2 linked regions of the Zea mays genome follow. The protein of the gene in region 2 interacts with the protein of the main gene of each other region in a pairwise test. Links are inferred from orthologs where the notes say so. Each region holds a gene or a part of one and is shown on either strand. Other genes may lie near its edges. The genes, in order: DNA topoisomerase 6 subunit B and DNA topoisomerase 6 subunit A3-like.

The links.
Region 1: the proteins of DNA topoisomerase 6 subunit A3-like (region 2) and DNA topoisomerase 6 subunit B interact in binary tests that used the Arabidopsis thaliana proteins (3 or more experiments, as listed by UniProt). The link is inferred for Zea mays from reciprocal best matches to the Arabidopsis thaliana genes RHL2 and TOP6B.

The regions. Positions count from the first base shown.
Region 1 is NC_050102.1:81,025,031-81,034,769, forward strand, and holds the start of DNA topoisomerase 6 subunit B, read left to right. Parts: upstream 1-3,528; 5' UTR 3,529-3,681; coding exon 3,682-3,835; intron 3,836-3,934; coding exon 3,935-3,987; intron 3,988-4,281; exon of another isoform or gene 4,282-4,308; coding exon 4,309-4,406; intron 4,407-4,498; coding exon 4,499-4,604; intron 4,605-4,737; coding exon 4,738-4,872; intron 4,873-4,962; coding exon 4,963-5,014; intron 5,015-5,137; coding exon 5,138-5,202; intron 5,203-6,055; coding exon 6,056-6,162; intron 6,163-7,019; coding exon 7,020-7,122; intron 7,123-7,197; coding exon 7,198-7,283; intron 7,284-7,364; coding exon 7,365-7,561; intron 7,562-7,902; coding exon 7,903-8,018; intron 8,019-8,115; coding exon 8,116-8,201; intron 8,202-8,291; coding exon 8,292-8,364; intron 8,365-9,739. UniProt on the Arabidopsis thaliana protein: Component of the DNA topoisomerase VI involved in chromatin organization and progression of endoreduplication cycles. Relaxes both positive and negative superturns and exhibits a strong decatenase activity. The B subunit binds ATP.
Region 2 is NC_050096.1:43,344,973-43,354,334, forward strand, and holds DNA topoisomerase 6 subunit A3-like, read left to right. Parts: upstream 1-4,042; 5' UTR 4,043-4,147; coding exon 4,148-5,458; 3' UTR 5,459-5,475; intron 5,476-5,694; 3' UTR 5,695-6,110; downstream 6,111-9,362. Other genes in the region: Thioredoxin-like protein AAED1, chloroplastic, read left to right, coding at 1,726-1,805, 1,901-1,992, 2,105-2,165, 2,337-2,396. UniProt on the Arabidopsis thaliana protein: Component of the DNA topoisomerase VI involved in chromatin organization and progression of endoreduplication cycles. Relaxes both positive and negative superturns and exhibits a strong decatenase activity. Involved in cell-elongation processes.

The sequences.
Region 1 (9,739 bases), on a different chromosome or scaffold from region 2:
CACAACTAAATCCAAGAATTGGATTTGAAATTCAAATCAAACAAAATATATGCTTCGACAAGAATGCATCAAACACTTTGATAAAATTTTACTATTTAAGAAATTGTTCAATTTAATTATATCACCATTTCTTTATTTGCTAATATAAATATTTTTTCTTTCTACTGGTAATTAATAATATAAACTTTGTTTTTTCAAATGATGGATTTGGGATGTTACAGTTTGATAAAAGATGTGTTTTCTTCTTAACCATTGGATTCAAGCACATGAATTGATGTTATGTCCTTCTTTAGGCTTGAATACATGTCAATAATGCACAAGTCACATTGTTTTTGAGTTGTGTTAAATGATCAGGATGGGAATGGAGACAAAGTGGTCACCCTGCTTGGTCGGACAACCTAGTTGTCGGCGACGTGGCTTTGGCCAGGCGACCACCATTCTTTCTCCATTGTCGATTCTTGTAATTTGGTGGTGTCATGCATAAAATTATCATACACAACTCGTGGAACCTATTAGATAACACAAATTTGGTCCCATAGAACTCCTTAAACACAAAATGTTGGTGGTCACAACACGTTTTTATGTCCACCATAAATAAGATGGTCGCTTTCAGACAATTTATGTCGTTTAGATGCTAGATTCATAGATTTCTTATATGGTCATGTTGAAGCCTATAAAGACAATTTATGACTTAGGACAATTTGTTTTATCATCATTGTTGAAGCCTATAAAGAGTCATGTTACTATATGCGGTGATATTCATGGACAATTTCATGATCTTGTTGAACTCTTTCCGAACTGGTGGAAATGTACCTCATTATTTTCTGTTCGTTTGCTTCTGTCACTTCTTTGATTTAATAAAGAAAACATGAGTATTCCAATATTTCGAAACTTCCACTTTTACCATTGTCCAAATACAAACTACCTGTTTATGGGAGATTATGTTGATCATGGTTACTACTATGTCAAAATTATCACTGTGAGTGTAACTCACATGGCTTTATGTTATCACCATCAACATATTCATCTACCCATAGTGGTCATGGGCAGTATAGATGTGCAGTGGGCACTCTATTGAAAAGCATATCATATTTGCCTTTTGTTGTTCCTACTTCAAATCTCTAAATTGCAGAACTTCACTAATTATTGGCACTAATTTCATACACCACAAACAAACAACTTTTGGTGGCTTTAAAAGTTCGATGTCATAAGAGGACCACCATTTTCAGAGGAAACCATGAAAGCCGACATGTATACAATTTTTTGTTTGACAAATTGTTCATGTTTCGCAGCGTACCTCACACCTCCCGTCATGGAGTCGATCATCCTCCGCCTTCTGTCCTATGGCCACACGCTCGACTTCTTCCACCACTCATACTATCCCCTCAATGCCATGGCGTCACTCCTGCCACCACACTAACATGTGTACCTCGACCACCTCGCCACAGATGTGCTCGCCTCTCACTGCTCCATGACGTACGACGTATTGGGTTCCTCCTTCGCCGCCTTGGCACTACTCGCGCCTTCTATACATTGTTGTCCATGTCTTTGATGCAGCGACTACGACGCTTAGCTACGCCCCAAACTTATACATGTACAACTGCCTCCTCGAAACGCTCGCCAAGGTCGGCCGCACGAAAGGCGCCTAGACATAGTTGTAGGAGATGGTGGCGAGGTGCAGTGATGAGAGGGTAGATAACTAGATAAATCGTGCGCGTGTCGTCCTAAAGAGCGTGCGCTATGTTACAGAGAATGAGTGAGAGGGCACGTGTTGACGATGCTTATTGTGTCGTTCAACAAGTGGGGAAACATGGAGGATGTAGTTGAGTTGCTTAGGGGGATGGAGGCACTTGACATGTGACAAGCGAGAACACATTGAGCGTTTTGATACCTAGATTTGCTAGGCAGCGGAGGGTTGATGTGGCATGGATATGTTTGGTAAGATGGCCAGTTATTGATTCAGTCTGGATTTGGTGATGTATAATGTGTTAATTGAGGGACCATGTCATGGAAATGAGATGAGGAAGGCTGTGAAATTGCTCAAGTATATGAAGAGGGATAGGGTTACACCTGATGTTCGCTTGCTCAAGATGATAATAGAAGCATTCTGTAGGTTAGGAGATTTCTCTACTGTTGGCCCATTCATTAATGAAAATGTAGCGTATTTGAAACCCAACAATGTTGTTCTATTGTATAATAATGTGATTCTTGAAGGTCTTATTAACCATGGAGAGGTAGAAGCAGCATGTCAGTTACTCAACTCCATGGTGCATGGTGGTCAGAGGGTTAGTGATGACGATACTGTTGGTGTGCATATTTTTATTATCAATGAAGAAGTTGAACCAAACTTTGATTTGTTTAATATTGTTGTGTCTGGCCTTTGTGAGACTAGATCTAGCTTTGGCTCTCACAAAAACATGGTTGGCCTTGGTTGCAAGGGAAAGTTTTTGGTGTTTAATGATTTGATACTTGAATTGTGCAATTTGGATAAACCAGAAGCGAAGGATCTTGCGAGTAATACACAAAAAAGATAGAATATAACTCTCCATTCAAATGGATTGCTAGAGTCACTTGGGCGTGTTTGGCATGGTTCTGTTCCACTTCAGAGTAGCTCTACTCTAAAACTCTGGGTGGAGCAGCTCCGCTCTAGAGTTTAAATTGTTTCTCATAACCAGTGACAGTTAAATAACTCTAAACTCCACGTCTAGGTTGTTTTTAGAGTTTTCGGAGCAGCAAAGCAGGTACTCCAAAAATTTGTACTACAACTCTGAAAATTCCATTGAGTTTGTAACCCTGGAGTTAGAGTGAACTTCTTCTTAGAGTTCTACTCCGGAGCCATGCCAAACACGCACTTAGTCGTCCCAACACATTGATATATACTTTCACCTAAAATTTAGGGGGTGTTTTTTTTGGATTACAATCTATCCAGATTATATAATCCGACAAATTAAACAAAAATGATCTCGGTAGACTATAATCCCAAAAAATACCCCCTTTAGAGCAATAATTCTCTAAAACTAAATCAATAATTTAGGTAGTTAATATAAAAACTCTTCTCCAACAGTTCTCTAAACGAGTTTTATAAATTTAGCAGTTCTTATCTAACCTCATTTTCTCTCTATATTTGACAACTATTTAGCAACTCACTAAACAAAAATGTTGACTGCATTATGTAGTTAATGGAGATGATTGTTCACATTTGTGTCTTATTTTTTATGTGGATAGATACAAAAAAACTTCAAATTATATTTAGAAAACTACTAGAGAACTCATAATTCTTTACTCCTAAAGTTATTTAATAACTTATTAAATCTATGATTTAGATAGCTAAATTTATATAATTATTGGAGCTGCTCCTAGCTGGATAAAATTCCGTTAGGTGGAACCATTAGTTTGGAAACATCATTTTTCTCTCAAGAAGATGTTTTCACCCTAAACGGGCAAAAACCAGTTTTCGTAAAAGTCGGCGTTGTTGATTGATTATTACTTAAAAAATGCCATTTTTTCAACCATGATTTATGTCGAGTGTCTAATTTCTTATGGACCATTTCGATACATCTGGTACGATAGTCCGCCCAAAGTCCCAAACGGACCCACATTTGGCTCAGACTTTTGAGAGATCGCGCTCTCCAATTTTGCACCCGAACCCTAGCTACCGTCTCAATTAGATCCGACCTCGCCATGAACACCTCCGACGACGAGGCCATTGCCGCCGCTGCCGAGACCAAGAAGAAGACTCCCAAGGCGGCGGCGGCCAAGGGGAAGGCAACGGGGAAGGGGAAGGCGGCCGCCGGCCCCAAGACGTCGGCCAAGGAGAGCAGCCTCCTTAAGCAGAGTGAGCTCCCTCCCCGATCCCATTTCTCATTAAGATTTTCAGTACTTTGGGTCGGTTTATCTTATACATTTTGTATCTTTTCTGGGTGTTCTGCTGCAGAATCGCCCGCCGAATTCTTCGCTGAGAACAAGAACATTGCCGGGTTTGACAATGTGAGTTGTTCTCTAAGGACTTTTAGCCGATTTGGGTGCAACAGCTAGATTTCGTGCGTTTGCGAAATTTAGCTAGAATCAGTGTGGAGATGCCCTGTTATCTTGTCGACAGATAATTTCACTTCTTTATTTTCCTTCTGGTTCAAGCACATTCTTATCTATAGATTAAACTTAGACCACATCTGGCAGTGGGAAACAAACAAAAACTATGATTAAAGGATATTACTCATTCTAGTTGTAGTACACTTTTGAGGAGGAAATTTATAAGATACTATCGTAGTCATTATTTCACAGAGATACTGATGTAATGGTGCTGGTCAGCCTGGTAAATCCCTGTACACCACGTTGCGGGAGCTAGTTGAGAATGCCCTTGATTCCGCCGAATCCATATCGGAGCTCCCTGAAATAGAGATTACAATGTAAGTAATCCCCAAATGTATTCTTTGTGGTCTTTTGCTATGTTGCCGTACGGGACAGTGCCCATAAGTTTGTTTTGCCATATCTTTGTCAGAGAAGAGATCACGAAGACCAAGTTCAACACAATGATTGGGCTAGTGGATCGACAGCGTGTTGACGAGGCACTATATGATGATTTTGAGTCAGAAAAGGCTCGTGAGGTAAGATGAGCACCTAGGTTTGTAGTAGTTTGACCATGGATGATGTGTTGAGAGGGGTGAGACTTCACAAACTTACCTCTTTGTATTATCATAATTTTAAGTCTGATGAAGCTGTATGATTCACAATACTTAGAAACGCCTAGCCAAGGAAGCACGTTTCCAAGAATCTCAGGCTAAAAATGCTGCACTTGGGAAGAAAGTTAAGGATGCTCCATCTGTTCGAGGAAAAGGTCGGGGTGAGGCTGCATTTTTCAAAGTGACTTGCAAGGTATTGTTGTGACAATGTGATTTATGATATACCCGATGAGAATATATTTTCTTAACTTTGATCTTTATTATTCCCCCCTTACGGATGCAGGATAATGGTAGAGGTATGCCACATGATGATATCCCAAATATGCTTGGGAGAGGTAAGTTTTTAATGGTATATTTAATCCGTAATTGCTGAATTCAAACAGTTTGGTCCTTTCTTACTTGGAGAGGAGATAGTACCACGATGTCCAATATCATTGGAGTTATTTACATTGGTGCAGTTTTGTCGGGCACAAAGTATGGTTTGAGGCAAACACGTGGGAAATTTGGACTCGGTGCTAAAATGGTAATTTTTTTTTGCGTACACAATTGAGAAGAAGCTTTCTAAATTGTATGTTGCTGTGGACTATTGTTTTGTATCTTTTTGATAGTTAAGAATGAATGCAAACAGTTAGTTGATTCTGCATTGTCATGAAATGTTGAAGTTGTTTCCTTTCTATTCCTTGGGAATGACTGTCTTTGTGTTTGCAACTTTGCATTAGATTGTGCAAGTGTGCAACCAAGCAATACTCGTCTTATGCTGTTTGTCATGGTACTTTTATTTCATTTTCTACATAGCCATGTAAAACTTTCATCATAACTAAAGTAAAATGTTACAATCATAATAGCAATTTGTTTGCAGTTGGCATAATCATCCTTTTCTTTCACTTTGACTATACCTTTAAGTGTGTAGTGGGATCCTAGGGCATGATAATAATGCGAAGAGAGGCATGAAAAAACCGAAGTTGACATGGGAAGAGACAGTAAAAGGAGACTTGAAAGGATGGATTATACCTAATGATTTAGCCTTGAATAGGAGCAAATGAAAAACAACTATCCACGTGCACGAACCTTGATTTGTGGCTTCTGCTGGGTTTTTAACTCTAGCCTACCCCAATTTGCTTAGGACTAAAATACTTTGCTGTTGTTGTTGATTATACCTTTAAGTGATTTATTATTACTTTGCCCTCTTGTTTGTTATTTCAAATTTGATGGTATTCTTTTGCTTAATCTATCCCATGCCTAAGAGATGCTCACCGTGTTTTGCCTCTGTAAAATAGCTTAATACAATAAACATGTGACCTATGATATTCTCATGGATTATTATTATTTTAGTGGCTCTAATGTTCTGTTTATCTTATAATTGTGGATTAGAACAGGCACTTATATGGTCAAAGATGAGTACAGGGCTTCCTATTGAAATTAAATCATCGATGAAAGGCCAGAACTATACTTCCTTCTGTCGCCTGGACATAGATATTCATAAGTAAGTACAGCTTGTTGGTTTGTGTGTCTGTTCAACACATGTACTGACTTAATATTGCTATTTATCTCTATTTATGTCCATGCTTATCAAGGCGTCCATTAAGCGTCGCCTTAGCGTCGCTTTAGCGCTAAGGCGCGCTCATAGGGCAAGACGTCTTGCTCGCCTTGCGCCGGGGAGTAAGGCGTCCGCCGCGGCATAAGGCGCCGGCGGGGCGTCAGCAGGGTGTTCTCGGGGCGTCAGCGGGGCGACGCTTAGGGGATAGGTAGGGTTTTGAAGGGCGACAGCTGGAAACAGAGAAGAGGGTTTGACCTGTGTCTGTGTGGCAGCTGCAGCTGCTGCCTCCTTCCTCGTCGGCGCGCAGTGCTCCGGCTATCGGAGGTGGGAGACTGCGGTGGAAGAACCGAGGGAGAGAGAGAGAGGAGAGCTGTGGGGGAGGGAGAGAGGGGACTGAAGAGAGATGCAGTGTGAGGGAGAGATAGAGGCTGGCATCTGTGACCTAAAACTGTGTTTTGGGCTGAGCTGGGCCGAGTTGGGCCGGACTCACTTGTTGTGAGGTTCTTTCTTTCCTTTTTTTTCTGCTTCTACTAGACTGAAATTGGACATATTAGACCTTATAAAAGTGCTAGCTTGCTTATTAACTTTAAATTAGTGATATATAAATAATGTTTGATCTCATTTTTTTTATATTTATCTATCTATATAACTAAGGCGTCACCTCGCCTTATGCTTTATCGCTTAAAAGATAAAAAGGGGGTCGGTCGCCTTATGTCGCCTTACCGCCTTAATAACTATGTTTATGTCAATTCGGTAACTTGTGCAGTTTACCATGACCCATTTTGGTGTATTCCATTTTTCAGAAATATCCCTCATGTCCATTTACATGAGAAAAGAGAGAACAAAACTCATTGGCATGGGGCAGAGATTGAAGTTATAATTGAGGGAAATTGGACAACTCATCGTGTGAGTAGCATGTTTTGGAACATTTGAAACAAGGAATTATTCTGTAAAGCTAAACATGTGATCTCTTTCATGCAGTCAAAGATCCTCCATTATATGCGTCAGATGGCAGTCATCACACCATATGCTCAGTTCCTTTTTAAATTTCTATCTGATGCGGCAGAGTAAGCATTTTGTTTATGGTTATCTATGTTGTGCAAAAGCTGTTGATATTTTTTTCATGAATGAAAATTTGTTTTCTGCAGCAAAAACTTAACAATAAAGTTTACACGCCGGACAGACGTTATGCCTCCTGTTCCACTTCAAACAAAGCATCACCCATCTGCGGTTGATTTGTTACTGATAAAACGCTTAGTTGCAGAGACTACAAAGCAAAATCTTTTACAGTTTCTACAACATGAGTTTGTGAACATAAGCAAACCGCATGCTGAACGTTTAATTGGTGAGTTTTATGATATGCATTATGGCTGACCTGGTTATCATAAACTAAAAAAATAACTAAATCAGTATAGTTTCTATCTGTTTTCAACACATCATGGACTACTTAGTCCAATTTTCCAGAATAGAACCTTTTTGGTGATCGTGAAGTTTCAATTGTTTATAATGTTGCTTTTCAAAGTATTCTACTCTCCACTAAAATCATTTACAACTCCTATTATAATCTATTTTGACTAAAAATGTAGTTGTATTGTTGTTATGTACTTTTATATTACTCTATTTCTAGGCTTTACTGTTCTTGTTACCAGTTCTATGTTTTAATATAACATATTTTTGATTTGGCAGGGGAGATGGGACCTGATTTCAGTCAAAAAATGGCAGTTAAGAGCCTTACTTCTCAGCAATTAGTTCGAATACATCAATTATTTAGGCAGGCTAAGTTCGATGATCCCAGCGGCAATGTATGCACTCCCTTCAACCTTTATTTGTCAGTTATTCATTGGTTGCTTTCATATGTGTAACTGGTCATTGTGGTATCGAAATCAACCAATTCTATAGTGTCTTAGTCCTGCGGGTGAATATAATTTACGCCTGGGTATCATAAAAGAGTTGCACCCTGATATGGTTGCGACACATGCAAGCAGGTATACCATTTTATTCAGACTGAATTCCAGAAGGCATTCCAATACTGCATATTTGAACAAACTAATAACATAATGTGGTCCTCTATTCAGCCCTCAGGTTTTTGAAGGTCACCCATTTATTGTTGAAGCTGGGATAAGCATTGGTGGAAAAGATGTTAAACAAGTAAATACTTAACTTTTCACTCTCTACAGCAACAACTATGCTTCTATTTTATTGTGTTAAAAAAGATTGTATAAACATGTATTTTGTTAGTCCTTTGTGGTTCCAGCAATTTTCGATGCTAGGCAAATAGCCCCTCAAACAGATCAGCAAGAACTCTCATACACAAACGAACTTAGCGGGTTTGGTGGCTGGAGTTACTTACCTCCTATACATATGTCTCTACCTCTCTCTCTCTCTCTCTCTCTCTATATATATATATATATATATATATATATATATATATATATATATATATATATATATATATACCAACACTATTTGTCACCTAGGTTGAAGCTTCATCCACTCAAGTAATTTTCGGTAATTACTAAACATTAGTCAATAATTACCGGATAATTACTGACTATCGTTTAGTAATTACCGAAAATTACTGAGTGAGTGAAGTTTCACTCTAGGTGTCAAATAGCATATATATATGGCATTATGGCAACATATCAGGTGCAATCCAATTTTCCATGCAAACCAAGTAATCAACTAACAAAAGTCACAAAAAATTCTCAAAAAAATTATAGATGTACTTCATTGCCTATTCTACCACTGTGTAAAATTTTAGGTTCAAATTCATCATAAGTTAAGAGATAAAAAGAGAATTTTTTTGAGACACAAAAAAGTGCAAATTATCTCAGAATTCTTTTTTTGTATCCTTTAATATATGACGAAATTGAAATTGAAATTTTATACAGTGGTAGAGTGGGCAAAGAAGTACATCCATATTTTTTGTAACTTTTGTTAGTTAGTTTGCACAGAAGTACTAGTGTGCACCTGATACATTGCATATATACTAGTCGGTTGCCCGTGCGTTGCGACTGCTCACAACAATACCCACATAAACTATCCACCAAAAAGATCTCAAGATTTTTTATTGATTGTCTCCGCTCTCCGCATAATATTTTTTATGAACGCACGAGTACTATAGGCAGCAAATCAAGGACCCCATCCCTCGCCTCCCCCACTTCCAAGGTTTCGTAGAGCAGGAAGGGAAGGGAAGAGACGAGCATACCTGTTCGTTGCCGGAGAAGGACACGATGAAGACCTGGACATTTGGAGGCGACATAGGTAGTATACCACTAGATACATATAGGGAGAGAGCACGCAAGCAGAGAAAGAAGTCCAACCGGAGCAACTCCAAACCAAGAGGCACCCACACCAGGCGTCAGTCTGAGAAGGGCGAGAAAATGCGAGTGCCTTTATAGCCCTGGACCCGCCGAGGCGACACAACGTCACCACCAACTCCGTAGCATATGCCGACTGCTGTCGCGCTACGGGCCTTTGGTTGTCCAATATCTCAGACCTGGACTCCTCATCGCCAAGGTAA
Region 2 (9,362 bases):
GTGTACTGCTCTCAGCCGGTGGGCTTTGTGGACCCGGCTCACCCCGACATGGTCTGCAAACTCAACTGGTCCCTCTACGGTCTCAAGCAGGCTCCTTGCGCCTAGTAAAGTCGCTTCATCACCTTCTTGCTCTCAAAGGGCTTTGTTGAGGCCAAGGCTGACACCTCCATGTTCGTCTTTCACCATGGCATGATACTGCCTACCTCCTCTACGTCAACGACATCGTCCTCACGGCCTCCTCCCTCGACCTCCTGCGGCACATCATCACCTCTCTTCAGCAGGAATTCTCCATGAAGGACCTGGGTAAGTTGGACCACATCCTGGGGATCACTGTTGAGCGTCAGCCCCAGGGCCTGTTCCTCCACCAGTGCCAGTACACTGTTGACATCCTCAAGCGAGCTGGCATGGCTGATTGTAATCCCTGCTCGACTCTGGTGGACACTCAGGGCAAGGTCTCCACCGACGCCCGCTCTCCGGTGGCTGATCCGACCAGTTATCAGAGTCTTGTCGGAGCATTGCAGTACCTTGTCTTCACCCATCTCGACATCGTCTATGCTGTCCAGCAGGTGTGCCTTCATATGCACGCCCGCAGGAGCCGCATCTCACCGCTACGAAGCGGATCCTTCGGTACCTCCAAGGCACCACCGACTTCGGCCTTCTTCTTCGCCGACCTACGACCACTGACCTCGTCGTCTACACCGACGCCGATTGGGGTGGTTGTCCCAATACTCGTCGGTCCACTTCCTGTTTCGTCGTTTTCCTTGGCGACAACCTCGTCTCCTGGTCTTCGAAGCGGTAGCCCATCGTCTCCCGCTCCAGCGCCGAGGCCGAGTATCGCGCAGTGGCTAGCGCCGTCGCCGAGGCGGCGTGGCTTTGTCAGCTGCTCTAGGAGCTACACAGTCCGCTGACGCGGAGCACCCTTGTCTATTGTGACAACGTCAGCGCCATGTACCTCTCCACCAACCTCGTCCAGCATCAGCACACGAAACATCTCGTGCTGGACCTCCACTTCGTTCGCGAGTGGATTGCTGTTGGAGACGTGCGGGTTTTTCACGTCCCGACCACTTCTCAATTTGCCGACATCTTCACCAAGGGCCTCCCTACGTCGGTGTTTGAGGAGTTTCGGTCCAGTCTCAACATCTCCCGTGGCTAGAGTTTCGATTGCGGGGGGTGTTAGTATCTGTGTATTCCTTGTAATGGGCTCTTGTGTAACGGGCTTAGGTCCATTGACTCTATCATAAATACAACACCCAAGTGGTTGATGTTGCTTTTACCATGACTTGGTGTGGCCGTATGCAAGCATATATACAACTCATGAAGGTAATCACAGACCTGGGACTGAAATTTACGTTCGGCAGGTAAAGCGTGTGTCCTACTTTTTGTTTGGAAACGAAATCAAGTACTGATTTAAGTTAGGGTATCACCTAGGCGATAAGGCACATCCAAATCACCATATGAGTATATGACGCTTTGCTGCCTTAAGAGCCGTGATTTGGGTGTTTCGTGATGAACTGTCCGATAATAAATAAGCTAAGTAAAAACGCACAGCTGGATCCTTTTCTTTATTTCTTTTTTGCATAAATGTGAAAAATAATTGTTCTCTTGATTTCCTGGTAGGTGTTTAAGTGTGTAAATCTGTGACGATGTGTTTTCTGATTCATACTTTCTAGTGCAAAACTCGAACTACTGTCCACTGTATGACAAATCTGGTGATTTACATTACAGAAGTGTATGCTGACCCTACTCACTCATCGTATGACGCTCTTGAATTTGCATTCGGGTTGTTCTCCACCTTTACGCCCGCGGTAACCCTTATACTGGACATAAATTTTGCATGCTGTGTAGTTTATGTTCCCCAACCCCAACGTATACATAAACGGTTCTTTCCATCATTTCATAGGCTGGCCTCAAGATAATACAGTTGTACAGGGAAGGATACAGGCAGGACTGGGAATTGTCATTCGAGAAGAACACCAGGACAAAAGGCGGATGGTATGTTTGCCTTCTGGCTTCGCCTTTTTGCTGTTGTAAACCCGAAATTCGAGTTGGCTGTTAGAGTTTTTGCAATTGTCTTTATAGCATTGATACATTGCATTTTCTCTAGGTATCAAGGGGGGTTAATTGTTGCAGGTCCAGGTATCGATAACATCCTGTACATCCACAAGGTCAGTGCCCCTTTTACGAAAACTTTGTACCGCTTGTTCTGATTATAAAGTACGTATATATAATCAATAGGGGCAAACCCCTTCTGTTCTCCCCATGAAAAAAGAATACTATCATACTATGACACTGTCACACTGAATGCAACTTCTCTTTTCTGGTATCTCTTTTAACAGGACAAAGAAGCCGGAGATGATCCTGACATGCAGGATGTGTTGAGAGCTTGCTGTTCCTAGAAAATCAGTGTGCCCCACGACCACACAGTCACTCTATATCTCGTTGTAAAAGTCAGGTTGTAATCAGCCCTCAATCTTCAGCGATCCTGTTCAGGATGCATGGGCTCTCTTTTTTCGTAACATACGACGCACGGGGAACCTTACGTTTATGTTTTGGTAGCAAGGGGGAAAGGATTGTAAGGGCTAGAATCCCCTTGCTATTTAATTCTGAGTAACAAGAGGATTTTAGCCCCTCAAATTCCTTTTATTTTTCTTGCTCCCAAACAAGCTCGTGCGTGTACATAACATATGTATGGTTCTGTATAGAAATCGATGAAGTTCTGAGTATCTGCTAGGAATAATATATAGGACGTACGAGACTCGTTGTTGTTGATGTTCTGCGAGACTCGTTGATGTTCTGTGTGTGTATACATGAGCATGTAGCCCGAGGCTCTTTTTTTTGCCCGACTGGGTTCGTGCCTGGGCCGGACCGCCACAATAAACGAGGCCATGCTTGGGCTATCCATAGTGCTTGCTGCGCGACCCGGCCCGCCAGAAAACAGCAGGCACGGGGCCGCCTCGGTGTCGGGGTGCAGGGCATAAGGCACACACGACATCCCCCTTCCCCTCGTCTCATCCCAGTGTCCCACTCCCACACGGCTTCTCCTGCTCCTCTCCCCACTCGATTCGTTTGTTCGTGGTCTGCCCGTCGCGCCGTCTTTGCCTCGCTGTTGTTGTCGCCACCATCGAAATTTCATCACCGGCGACATCGGCGGGTCTCCTACACTCCTTTTGTGCGGCTTGCCCCTCTCTGGCTCTCCCTCGGTCCCTCCCTAATCCAGAAATCCCTAACCCAAATCTCGTCGTCGTCGGTTATCGGCTCGTCAAGCGTCGTTGTGCACTAGATCCTTGTCTCCGGCTTTGAGCTCCGGCTAGGCAGGTACGTCCCTCTTCGGCTCTCCCTCTCCAATCGGCAATCCCTAACCCTAATCTCCTCTTCGCTGCTTGCTTGTGGGCTTTGGTAGGTCATCGGCCGACTACGTCGTGGTCGTGCTAGTGCCGCCAAGGCCGTTGAGGTACGGAGCCGAGAAGGGGGGCTACGTCGTGAATTCTGATCTAATTTGATATCACCCTTTGGCTTGTAATAAATTTGAACATTTGAATTATAAACTGAGTTGGTCGTACTTTTTTCCTTTCTAGGGTTTCTCACGAGGTATGAGTTTTACCTATAAAGGTTTTTAACGAGACAACATTGCATTAACAACTCAAATTTTGTGTATATTTTGTTCAAATTGTGTTGGATGTTGAAATTGTGCATGTTTTTGTTCAAATTGTGTTTTCGTGCTAGCTCGACACTCTATTTGGCTAGGGCTTTTCGGGCTGGCTTGACCCGAAAAAATGGTTCAAAGGGATGTGCCCACGCATGATTGTGCATGCTTGGCCCGATAGACCCGTGGGCCTGGTCATGTCGTGCCTTGGCATGAGCCCAGGTCGTATCGTGCCGAGCATGACTAGTTTGCTCATCTATAGTTTTGTGTCATTGCGGCCTTGAGCCCATAAGCTATTCGGCCCATTAGCTTAGCCCAGCCGAGACGCCGCGCGCGGCACAGCCCTCCTCCGGTACTCGGTCAGTCGGTCCTCCACACTCCTCACCAGTCACCACCAGACCAAATCGCAGCCGCGCTCGAGCTAAGCCCCGCCGCCGACGCCGTCATCTGCGCCCCAGAACCCCGTATTTCCCTCCGCCGCCTTCCGATCTCTCGCTCCTCCCCATGTCGGAGAAAAAGCGCCGCGCCGGTGCGAGCGCGGCCGGCGCCGCATCCAGCTCCAAGAAGCCGCGTGCTTCCTCGGCCGCGTCGTACGCCGAGTCCCTCCGCTCGAAGCTCCGCCCCGACGCCTCCATCCTGGCCACCCTCCGCTCCCTCGCTTCTGCCTCCGCTTCCAAATCCAAGGCCGCCGCCAGGTCCCTCGCGGACCACGACCCGTGCGCGGACCCCGCCTCCTCGTACATCGTGGTGGCCGACCAGGACTCCACCTCCGTCACCTCCCGCATCAACCGCCTCGTCCTTGCCGCCGCGCGCAGCATCCTCTCCGGCCGGGGCTTCTCCTTCGCGGTGCCCTCGCGCGCCGCCTCCAACCAGGTCTACCTCCCGGACCTCGACCGCATCGTGCTCGTCCGCCGCGAGTCCGCGCGCCCCTTCGCCAACGTCGCCACCGCGCGCAAGGCCACCATCACGGCGCGAGTCCTCTCCCTCGTCCACGCCGTCCTCGGCAGGGGCATCCACGTCACCAAGCGTGACCTCTTCTACACCGACGTCAAGCTCTTCGGCGACCAGACCCAGTCTGACGCCGTCCTCGACGACGTCTCCTGCATGCTCGGATGCACCAGGTCCTCGCTCCACGTCGTCGCCTCCGAGAAGGGCGTCGTCGTCGGCCGCCTCGTCTTCGCCGACGACGGGGACCGGATCGACTGCACGCGCATGGGCGTCGGCGGCAAGGCCATTCCGCCCAACGTCGACAGGGTCTCGGGCATCGAGAGCGACGCGCTCTTCATCCTCCTGGTGGAGAAGGACGCTGCATTCATGCGACTCGCCGAGGACAGGTTCTACAACCGCTTCCCCTGCATCATTCTGACGGCCAAGGGGCAGCCAGATGTCGCCACCCGGCTGTTCCTGCGGAGGCTCAAGGTTGAGCTGAAGCTGCCAGTGCTCGCGCTGGTGGATTCCGATCCATACGGGCTCAAGATCTTGTCGGTGTACATGTGTGGTTCCAAGAACATGTCGTATGACAGTGCCAATCTGACGACGCCGGACATCAAGTGGCTCGGTGTCCGGCCGAGCGACCTGGACAAGTACAGAGTGCCGGAGCAGTGCCGTCTCCCCATGACCGATCACGATATCAAGGTGGGGAAAGAGCTGCTCGAGGAGGACTTCGTGAAGCAGAATGAGGGCTGGGTGAAGGAGCTGGAGACGATGCTTCGCACCAAGCAAAAGGCTGAGATACAGGCCCTCAGTTCCTTCGGGTTCCAGTACCTCACTGAGGTCTACCTGCCTCTTAAGTTGCAGGAGCAGGATTGGATTTGAGAACTCTCCAATGCTAGGTACGAGATCTTTGGTCTTGTTCGCGTCACTTTGTTCATTGCTGCCCACGCTCGGCTTGATATGGTTATTAGTGCATTTCACCAAGTACACAGCACAACACAACACTTAGGCACCTTTCCTCATGAGTGAATTAGCAACACAGAGATCCAGATTGTTCAGTCAAATGTATCAGTTAACCAAGACTGTCATTATACCTGATATTGTGTTTGTACATGCAGATATCAGTAATTTCCCTAGCCAAGATAATGCCCTCCTCCGCTCAGTATTTTCAAGGACCAAATTGGCATGAATGAAGACTTCGCTATCTAGTTAATCACATGTATTTTTGAACACCAGCTGTTGTATTATTTATTTCTGCTGGAGAACTGTTCTGTGGAAAACATTGCTGCCAGATATGTGCTGGAATTTGATACATAACACAGGTGATTTAAATTGGTTCGGCCTCTTATCTGGTCGAACTTTGGTTGTTCTGTGTCCTATATTTCTGTAGGGCTTATTAGTTCCGTGTTTGACATGGAAATGGGATAACCCGGATTGAATGAAAATGTACTGGAAATTGATATATAGCAGTATGAAAATCCATGCATGATGTCTTTAGAAACATGACAATTAAATTCAATTACCCTGTTTTCATATGTACACCCAATCCTAGAATAACTGTACCAATTTATTGTATAGTAAATGGACCAAAAGGCTATTGTAAGAAAATGTCACACTGCAATCCTTGCGGCTTTCTTCTTCAACCAATGGTTCAGTGAGTTAATAGGGATTTTTATCATTCCCTGTGGTCTCCTAGTGAATTCTTTGGATATTTGCTCTAAATTACCTCTAGATTTTGTTGGTGCTTTGGATTTTGATGAAACAGGAGGGCGGCTTCCAGGTTCAATCAAAACTAATTTCAACTTCAGCTCTTGCCTGCACGACATCAACTGCACTAGTTTCAGTAATTATTGCCTGCACGATGTCAACTGCAGTAGTTTCAGCTTCAGCTCTTGATGTCTTCTCATGATCCGTGATGATAATACGAAGTGGCAGCTCAACATGACCTAGGAGGTATTGCTCTTTGATCTTCCGAAGAACAGATAGAACAATTCGAGCTTCAACCTGCAGAATACATGGTATTATGGATTACGGTAAGCACAAAAAACATAGTGATGGTTTCTGTAAATATCGCTATTCAAAATCAGTCATTATGTTCATGTAGCAGATCATCTGCATATCATATAGCTTGAATTAGTTGGATGTCATTTATTACCTTTTGGAAGGCCACAAACATCGACAATTTGGTTCTGATCAGCATCTTTTTGCAAGACTTACGACTTTCTCAAGAAACAGGTTGAAAGATTCTTTCCTGTTAGGTTGTAGATCCAAATTGTAAAAATCTTGATTATCACTGCCATTAGACAACTCGTCACGCAATTCCACTATTAAAATTCCTTGAGATAATGATCATTTGTCTGATACCTGGAGTGGGAAATCTTTTAAAATTCAAAAACAAAGGGAAATCCTAGTCATTCTCACAATGTCAGTCTATCAGAAAATAGGCTGTCAGTATGTTTCCTACAATGGAACAGTGGAATTAGAAGCGGTAGATACCTCATGAGATAACAACTAAAGCTTCAGTGGATTACATGCTCTGGTGATACCTGTCTGTTGTCAAAATAATTGTAGTCTGAAGCACTTCTAGTTTTCCATTATCTATGGTGTATTCCATGAATTTTACATTGGGACATTTGTATCAGATAAACACTTGTTTATTTAATACAATCACGAGTTACTGCAAAGCAGCAATCTTATAATATGGAACGAGTAGAGCTGTTGAGTCAAAAGCACTTGTTCTGACTTAAAAGGTATAAAAGAAACAATTCTTCTAGCCACATACCCTTCTTTCCTCATTTCCTGGTATATTGTGCTAAACACTGCTGGGCCTCCTGTGGGGATCCATAATTGTTGCTTGTACGTCACCTGAAAATGAACTATTGTGTCATATGCTATTTTTTTTACTCGAACGTGCAGGAAAGACGGTCCAACAATATGCAGAACAGAGCAATTTATATAGATCGAATTTTTGCAGGTTGTATAGAGCAAACCGTTTGACCATGCCAAGTATCATATCATACCGTTTGTTGAGCCCAAAAACGGGCAGGCCGACGGTCCGGCCCTATAGGTCGGACCATCCGCGGTGACGGCGCGACCAGTCCGTGTGTGCAAAGAATTAGTTAGGGTTTCGATATTCTAGCGGAATTTGTTGGCAAAACATACGAGATTAACTTGGAAACCGACTTGTAAAAGATTTAGAACTCCTTCCTTTATATAGATAAAAGGCTAGGACTGATTGAACCCCCACAATCAATACAATTAACTCTACTTATCGTTTTACCTTATGCATTAGTGGTGGCTCTAGTTTAGCCCTATTTTAGCCTCTCTCTCTACCTCAAAATCTTCACCTCTCTTTGGCTCTACGTCGATTAGAGATGTTTTGGGTGGCCTGTCGACGCCAAGACACACTCTAGGTTCTCTTCTCCCCGACGGGATCCCTCTCCCGGGATGCGAGATCAAGGTCTGCTGCGAAGATGATGACGCTATGCGCCATCGCGGATCGTTCGAACCTCAGGAGCAGATTGTCCGGACGTACGCAGAGGAGGAGCCGCTCTTGCGCCAGGTCGCGGACCGTCTGACCCTGTGCCGCAGACCGTCTGTGCCTCCGCAGAGAGCACCGCCAGGTGGTTCGTTCCAATGTTTGTCGCCTAGATCGGCGCCGACACACTTTTTGGCGACTTCGCTGGGGAACAAGTGTCAAGAACTACTAAAAATCAGGCTCTCAAATGGCCGGTTCTAAAGATCACACCGATATCTCCCTAGACAATGCCCTGAAACCAGCTGTTGAAAGTCTGATGCCCGATAAGAAACAACAATACGAGGACTACATGCGTCAAGCAAAGGAGAAAATTCTTGTCACAATACACGGTGGATCGCCACCAGAAGGTTGTTAAACATGGAGAGACTGATGTCGCATCTTTTCTATCTTCGCTTCAAGTCCCCAACGTAAGTGAAAGGATCACGATGCCTAAGTGGGGGCGTGAATTGAGCTTTTCTAAAATTTTAACAAAAGATTAAACCCTAAGCATGAGCCCAACTTCATCCAAACTACTATCATGAAGTAAAAGCTATGAAATAGAGAACGACCTTAAGTCATTATTGTAAATACTAGCTAAGCAAAAATAAACAAAGTAAAATGCTCAAAGTAAATGCGGAAAGTAAAGTTTGGACAAGAAGATTCCTCCAATTTTTCCCGAGGTATCAAAGAGTCAACACTCTACACTAGTTCTTGTTGGAGCACTCGCGCAAGGTTATCGCTTCCCCTTAGTCCTCGCAAAAACCAAGTGTTCAATATAAGATAATCTTTTGCCTCTCTTGCGTGGTGGATCCCTCACGATTGCGTACAATCGTCGAGTCAGGTCACCAACAAATCCTGTAGGGTGATCACCGAACTCCAATCGCCATCAAGCTGCCTAGGTGATGCCGATCACCAAGAGTAATAAGACATAGACCTTCACTTGACCAAGAGAAGCCTAATGCATGTGGTGTGTGCTCTAGGTGGCTCTCATGCGCACTAATGAGGTCCTAACAAGAGATTATGATTTTGCTAATCACCTCACTATGCTTTGTGGGCTTGCAATGCTCTAGCAATGAATACAAGGTGGATGGGACAACAAAACATTTAATATGACTGGTGTAGGGGGTATAAATACACCCACCCTCCAAAACTAGCCGTTACAACAGACTGCTACGCATGCGCGCATTGGACAGTCCGGTGCGCCATCGATGCACTTCCAACGACAAGTTCTGATAACTAGCTGTTGCTCTGATGTCGCATCGGACAGTC